Oryzias latipes: one gene and its partner. The protein of the gene in region 1 purifies or fractionates together with the protein of each later gene. This does not show direct contact. Links are inferred from orthologs where the notes say so. Each region holds a gene or a part of one and is shown in the gene's direction. Other genes may lie near its edges.

Region 1 (4,351 bases):
CACCAAGGCTAAGAAACGTAGTCCACACATGACATCCTATTGGCTGTCGCGTAGAGAAGGCCCGCCTTCTCCTCTCTACTATTGGTCAACACAACACAAAAGGCGAGGAGGAAACGCTTGTCAAATCACGTGGGCCACGTCTACAGAAAAGATTTGCCAATGAATGATCGTCCAACGTGGCTGGCTTTTTTTCACTTAACTTTATTAAATCGGAAAAACTTTACAAAATAAGGTAGGTGAAATCTTTTAGTATGTCTATGGGCGAAATGATGCCCGTTTAGGACAGAATCAGATTTAGTGATTACATTTGAAATGTATACCAACAATGTGTGCTTGAATCTATTCTTATCTTTTGATTAACTGTACAGATACTATTAAACTTAGCTATATAAGATAATAAAGAGCTACACTCAAAAAAGGCGATTTAAATAGAAAAAAATCCCTAGAATAAAAAAAGACCTACTTCCCTTAAACTAGTGGTGGATAATTATTTTGTTAGGTTTTTTCTCCGACTTAAAGCTTGTCCTTTTCTCATTGTGCTCTATGGTTGTTGGGTAACAAGCTGCCAGTTAAAAGGCTTGTGGATGAGCACTTTAAAACCAATTAAGGCAAAACCTGTTCTGCCCTTTAAATCAAACATAACAGCTTCCCTAATTGCTGTTCGATAAGCCCAAACACACAACGCTAGTAGCTGAGACTTGATCAGATTGGAATACTTCTCGGCCTTATAATTGTTTTTACATTCATCATTGGTTTGACATCTTTGGGTTGTGACCAGAAATGGATTCAGCGGGTTCTTAAGATGGATGGATGGATGGGTGATGTGGCTGTCAAACCACAAATAGGAGATTTTAGGCTTCATAGTAAAAAGAAATGGATGCAATTATTTTTGTTTGTTTGTCTGTTTTTCTTTTTTAATTAACAACAGGGTGCACACATTTATGTTTTATCATGTCTTGGGCTTTCTATAGTTACTACATTTCTTACATTTTGCCCCTCTTGCATCTCTTGTAACAGCATCTGTTTCAAATATAGTTAACACTGACAAAATAAACCAACAAAGACATGTTTTTACTTTCAAAAAACAACTGCATAATTTTTTAAGAAGATGCAAAATATATTCTAAATATTTGTTGTTATTTTATTGCATTTATTTGTCCTAAAGGATACCACTAAAAAAGCATTTGGATGTGCAGCTCCTGCTAACAGACATGTCACATCATGCATAAGTACCTGGGTTCATGCAGTATTCTCTATAGACTACACACTTCCAGATGCAGAATCGATTAATACAAAATTTATTTTATTCACATATAATTTAGCATAAATGCATACAAACATATAAAATTTTGTTGTGATAAAACAATATGAATAATACAAAAAAAGCATAAATAATGCACTGAAAACACAATCAAATCATTTTTAAAATAATTCTGAAATTATATAATTATTTATTCTAATCTTTATATTTTTAAAAACCCCAGAATATATATATATATATGAACATGTTTACCTAAACAATTAACTAAAAATGAAGGGGGTATAATAATTCCAAGTGTGTTTGATTGGTTTGCCAGGAACTAAGAATACACGTTTACAGTTCATAACAGAAATAAATACTTTTCTGATTTATCCAAGAGATTGGGACATAAAACTTTTAGGCTACTACAAGCACATTTTCAAGTCTGTTTTGCTGACTTTATGACACAAATTGCGAAGAAAAAGCATTGTTTTGAACAAGTGATCGACAGCAACAGTTTTGGATCTGTCAGCCATAAATTATTGTTCACATCGCTTTAACACACATTTGTAGGGGCGACAGAAAGAATGACAGTTTATTTCGTTCATTTACTATGACGTCTTCCCATCAGCTGTGGCGTCTCAGCGGAAATCTCGCGTGAAAAAGAGTGCGAGATTACAGGGCAAGGAGGGCTGCATGGGGAGCTGAGACAAAACAAAAGGCACACATTTAAACTGTCAGGCGCTGGTCGCTTTTTTGTGTTTCCTTTTTTAAATATTATTTTATCTTAGCATAATTATCACAATCAACCTGCTGTATCGTTATCGGTTTATCTGTAAAACTGGTTTGCATCATGCCCAGTAGCACGTCTTTGTTGGATGCCGATGAGGGAGAGTCCGAGGTCCCACCGCCGCTGGTGCATGCTTTGGCCGGTGTGGGCCTCGAGGATCTCCGCGACACCCAAAGCCAGACACAGGAACAAACAGACGAAAGTTTATCTTTTCAGCACCACCCGCTCCCCCAGGTTTCCCATTTTAGACTACTCGGCACGGTTCTGGACTTGAAACCCCTGTCGACGCATCGACCGCCCACGGGAGATCATCATGAAGTGAACAAAACGGCTGAAGACGAAGAGCCCGAAGTTGTTGCGACCGACTCCCTGGACTGCCCCGGTAGTTCGCTCCTACTGCAGGCCCACCGCCACCAACATCTCCCATCGGGACCAAGTAACTCAGCGATGCCTCCCGGAATGGAGCCGTCGCACATACTAGAGACCGTGTTGCTGTACAATGGAGACGAGCGGGATGACACCGGGATTGGCGGTGGCGCCCTGCCTTCTTCAGCTAACAGCATGGCGATGCTACCGGCTGGCGTGTACGGAGAAGCGAGTTTCGAGGCCGAGCCTTCGCTTTTGTCCCGGCGAAAAAGCGTCAACACCACGGAATGTGTGGCCGTACCGAGTTCCGAGCACGTCGCCGAGATTGTGGGCAGGCAGGGTGAGCGTTTTGTGTGTGTGTCTTTGTTTTGTTAGCCCCTTCTAAGTTCCGTTCATTGTGACCAAACCTCCACGAGGCATTAGCTGTAGAAGATGAGATGTTCACTAATGAGAAAATAACAAATTCGCCTTAAAATGTACCTCCTTTACAGTAAAATAATACGGTAAAACCGTCGATGTTAGCCTAAGCTGTTAGCTAAGCTTAGCACTTGAAAACTGGGTCAACACCACCCAGACTTTAGCTAGCCAAAAAGTTCACATCTTTCCATTTCAGTCGTTTTGACCACATTACTGCTGACTATCAGCTCGTTTTTATTCTTTACAGTGATTTTCGGTTACTTATCAAACTAAACTGTCTTTCCTTGCCTAAAAAACCCCGGCTGGGCTTTATCTCGTAGGACATAAAGAAGAGCAATGTTCCATTGCTTTGCCACATCAGCTGTATAGTTTTTTTTTTTTCTTCCCTCCACTGTCCTCATTAAAGACCATCGGGGGGATTTATGGGGTTTCTCGCACTCGTTTGTTTTTGCGAACACGATCCAATTAGATTTTTGACTTAAAGTTGTTGACTGTTAGGGTGAGGATGGTGTTATGTAGTCTTTTAAACCAGATGGGGGGAGGTGCGCCCGTTGGTGTTGACAACAACAGGAAATGGATCTTGGTAATGATGCTGGACTCTCAACCACTGCTCAAAATAATATTTAATTCATAAGATGAGGAACTTTTTAATGGTATTAGATTTTCGACATGGTGTGTGGGACGTTGACAATAAACAACTCTAGGTTTTCTATAATGGAAATGATGACATATGCTTGATGGGGAACAAATTAACCCAATGAAAACGTGAATTAACTATATTATTCTGCTTTGGAACGTTTTTATTTCTGTGGTCAATGAAGTTATTATGCAGCTGAGTGCTGATTCAAACAGAACCTAATAAAGAGAGCTTTCTTTGCAGCATTTCTGCTGGGGAATACAGGGCAGTCAACAGATCAAAAACCAATAGGGAGTAGCAATCTGTTCCTAGTATCCAACCAGATCAATCTGTGTGAGGCAAGATGTTAACCCTTGTGCTATCTAAGATGACCCCACCCTTGCATTGACGTGTTCTCCCTACCATGACAAAGGTGGATAAAGGTGGAAAGATTTCCTGTAATCCATGGACACCAGTGAAGAACACAAATCATTGAAGAAAAAAGGTTTAACGCACCGTCTAGTGGGTCTAGATGACCCAACTCCCAATGTTAAAGTGCCGAGGATAGCACAAGGGTTAATCAAGCTGACCTATACCGTTATAAAATTGTTTCAAAATGAAATGAATCAATTCTATCGATGGTGGAAAATACCAGTTGAATTTAGACCTTAATAGTATGATGTAAAAATGTGTCATCACAGCGGGCAAACACATGTGATGGCACCTAAAAAAAACAATCAGGCCGATCTGTGGAAACACTTTGAATTTTGCAAAGACATGTGACCATACAGTGTGGTAGAATGTTCTAATTGATGTGGAAAAAACAGTGGGCTGAACTAAATGTTAATGCATTTTCCATGAACCCTTGTTTACTAATCTAGAAAAGTTCACCTGTTCAAGACCAGGTGTTTATCTCTGAGTC
Region 2 (3,657 bases), on another chromosome or scaffold:
ACATCTCTTTGCCCCTGAACACCATCGGACCGGTCATGAAGATGGATCCTTTGAATAATTTGCAGGTACAGGAGCCGTTTTACCACCCATGTTAACTGGAATAAGGTACATTGGAAAGCATTCTGCTATTTCTTTGTTGCTTGAGAGTACATTTTGATTGGAACAGCTTAATATTATTTTGTCATTTTAAAGAAAAATGCATCATGTAACATTTTGAATATCGGTATAATTACATCTCTTTGATCAAAATGCGTTTTTAGACATTTTTAACAAATTGGTTCTCGAGGTTTCAGAATTTGCAGCCTTTCATGTACTAAATGTGATTGTAAGGTTCTAAAAGAAATGTATATAGTAATATAATACAAACAGAATTAAATCAATCAAACCATATAAGGCAGTGTTTTTCAACCAGTGTGCCGCGGCACACTGGTTGAAAAACTAGTGTTTTTCAACCAGTGTGCCGCGGGAGATGGTCAAGTGTGCCGTGGGAAATTACCCTCATTAATCATTCACTGATCTAAAAACATTTTCCATCTCCAGGAAATCAGCTCTTTGTTCATCCAAACAGGCCCTGATAAAACACTTGAGTAGTGAGGAATATAAAAGATCTTAAAATTACTTTTTATTTGTGTTTATTTGATTCTATTAAAGACATTTTGATAAGAATGACGGTATTTACCTGCAGCTATAGCGGTTTGCGGGAAAGTCCCGCCCCTTTACCTGTCTCCGCCAATCATTGTTGAAGGCTTAATCACATGTCAGCAGTCTGACCAATCAGAAGTGGTTAAAGTCTTCACTTCCTTGTTCTTAATTCTGCTCATAAATTCTCTCAGTTCCAACAAAAATACCAGCTAAAGCTCGTCTTTAGCGGTGTAGCTTTCCACAGAGTCCGGTGTCAGACCGTGAACAAAACAATGAAGCTCACAGACGCGAGTCTTTCTGCCCTTTTTCGGCAGTTTTCACACTACATCTCCCATGATGCATTGGCTTAAAGGGCCAGTGTCCCAGCGCATAATGAGTGCGCGTGAAATGTCTAGAAACCTCAACGGACAAACAAACAGTTTCTAAATTTTCTAATTTAACTTTTATTTCATCTCTTAGAAAAAACAGCCGCAACTTCCTGCTTTTTTGGCCACAATTATCACAAAATGCACGTGAGATTGCGGGGGGGGGACTGTCGATCAATAGAGACCATGAATTTCTGCTTATTTATTATTTTTTTTGGATGCTGGTGTGCCGCGGGATTTTTGTCAAGGTTAAAGTGTGCCGTGGGTCAAAAAAGGTTGAAAAACACTGATATAAGGTCACAAAAAAGAAAACAACGCATTTAATTTTGCTTACTTTTATCAAACACAATGACAATATCAGGACTTTGAAAAATTCTGATCTAGTAATATTCAGTTTGATGCTGTTTCTTTTCTAAAACTGCTCATGTTAAATTTTTTTTAGTCTCTTTATAGATTTTTATGTAATGAGCCAAAATAATCCAGACTAAGGTTTTAATAACTGTAGGAGCCAACATGTACGTAGTTTCTTTGCACTTTTTTTTGTTTACTTTACAGATTTGTATATTTCACCTTTTTTAACTATTTATTAGTGAAAAGTTTAATAAGCACCGGCTCACCTGCACTCGGGATTGAGTTGAAGCTTGGGCTGTTTATTTTTGTTGACTGCTATTTTTTGCTATGTTTGTTGGTAACCTTGGCTTTGCAGTCACCTTTTCCTGCCCTTTGTTAACCAGGTTCATCAACTTACACAAAGTAAGCTTATTAATTGCTTCCACTGTTTTTGCAAAAAAAAAAAAAAAAAAAAACCTGTTAAAACTACATAATGGACCGTAAACAGAGGGAACCCATTTGCTCCTCAGGAGGCACCTCAAACTTTTCTAATGTTCAGATGTTTTGGAAAAGCGAAATTCATATTTTAGTTTTAGTTGAAGGAACGTTGTCGCCTTAAACTCTGTTTTTGTCTGAGCTACTTTCTCATTTGTCTTGTGTTGGTTTTTGCGCAGGTGGCTGTGAAGAATAGCATTGATGTGTTTTACTTCAGCGTTCTCATCCCTCTCAACATATTCTTTGTTGAGGATGGAAAAATGGGTACGAATGTTGTGCATTTCTAAAAATATTTTACATCAGAAAATCTGTGCTAAAGACCATTTCCAGGAATATTTTCACAAATCTATTCTCTTTAGGTTTATTGTTAAGGATTTTTAAAGTATTTTTTCAATGGAATGAATAGGTTTTTATTCTATTATATTCACACATATATTTGTTTCATTTAACAAAGCATCCAGTAGGTTTTATGTGACTCTCTTTAACCGTCTTCAGAGCGACAGGTGTTCTTGGCAACATGGAAAGACATCCCCAATGAAAATGAGCTGCAGTATCAGATAAAGGACTGTCACTTAAATGCAGGTAGGTGACACTATAAAACACATTTTTAGATTTTTGTTTTTCTTCTAACATTAGATAACTTTGCAGATCTGCTTTATTTTATTGTAAATATTTACCGCAGAGATCAAGCGGGCAACAGTTTCTTTCCTTGATCCAAAATATTTTCACATATTCTTCCTCATTGTCAAATATTTCACATGCGATGCATCTCCATCTCACACTTTTCTTTGTTTTCTTTTTCACCTGCATGCCTGTCTTTGGATTTCGGTTCTTTTTATCTATCCAGCCTTTTTCTTCTTAGAAGCCCCCCATTAATGTGTCTCTGTTATCCTGGATGGCAGTCATCCATAGTGGTTTGTTACTTGAGTAGTCAGATAACCTAAAACTCTTAAGGTGACCAGTCATATTTCACCTAAACTCTTTTAGAATAAACTCACTCTTTGTAGAAAACGTGCATTGCGTAGTGCATATGCTTGTGTTAGTACCTAAAGTGATTCATACTTTTTGTAATGGGATGGTTTCGTGATGTAAAGTGAACATTTTTTTTGTTTCAGACGCCGTATCAGGAAAGCTGCAGAATAACAACATCTACACTATTGCCAAAAGAAACGTTGAAGGTCAGGACATGCTTTACCAGTCCCTCAAGCTAACCAACGGCATCTGGATCTTAGCCGAGCTCCGGATTCAGCCGGGAAACCCCAATTACACGGTACAGTGTTGGGTAGTTTATGGGGAGTCTTGCTCAAATGTCATGCTTCCTTTTGTATTTGAATATTTATTTGAACATGTATTTATTCTGACGGAGACATTGTATATTAATGAACATCAAAAACAAACGTAAATGCAGTGTTTCCTTGTTTATTGCGGGTTATACATTCCATAATTAACCCACAATGGGTGTAATCCCCCCAAGTGGGATTACAGATGTTTTAAAACTCCTCACTAAACACTTTTTTCCAACAGACATGAACATTGTCATACTCTTCTCCCTTGTTTAAACTCTCAAAGTTCAAACCCTTTTAGAAAAATGAGACCAGTATTACTGAATAAGAACGAAGATCTTCTCAAACTTTTATGTACATTTGGCAACTTGCACACATTCTGTACAGGAGACATGGCACTGAGGAGATTGATTGACAACCGCCAATCAGAACGCAGAACACAGTGCACTGTAAAAAAAAAAGAAAGCATGCAAAGTTGCCTGAAAGACATTGCGAGACCACAAAACATGAACCACAATATAGTGAAAGACCAGAGTTTAGAC

What was found.
Region 2: the proteins of RNA-binding protein MEX3B (region 1) and AP-1 complex subunit beta-1 purify together in Homo sapiens (affinity purification with mass spectrometry; 4 studies listed by BioGRID and IntAct, with this or other methods). This does not show direct contact. The link is inferred for Oryzias latipes from reciprocal best matches to the Homo sapiens genes MEX3C and AP2B1.

What each region holds. Positions count from the first base shown.
Region 1 is NC_019867.2:10,558,395-10,562,745, forward strand, and holds the start of RNA-binding protein MEX3B, read left to right. Parts: upstream 1-1,493; 5' UTR 1,494-2,093; coding exon 2,094-2,736; intron 2,737-4,351. UniProt on the Homo sapiens protein: E3 ubiquitin ligase responsible for the post-transcriptional regulation of common HLA-A allotypes. Binds to the 3' UTR of HLA-A2 mRNA, and regulates its levels by promoting mRNA decay.
Region 2 is NC_019872.2:25,038,700-25,042,356, forward strand, and holds part of AP-1 complex subunit beta-1, read left to right. Parts: coding exon 1-65; intron 66-2,011; coding exon 2,012-2,096; intron 2,097-2,327; coding exon 2,328-2,414; intron 2,415-2,947; coding exon 2,948-3,102; intron 3,103-3,657. UniProt on the Homo sapiens protein: Component of the adaptor protein complex 2 (AP-2). Adaptor protein complexes function in protein transport via transport vesicles in different membrane traffic pathways.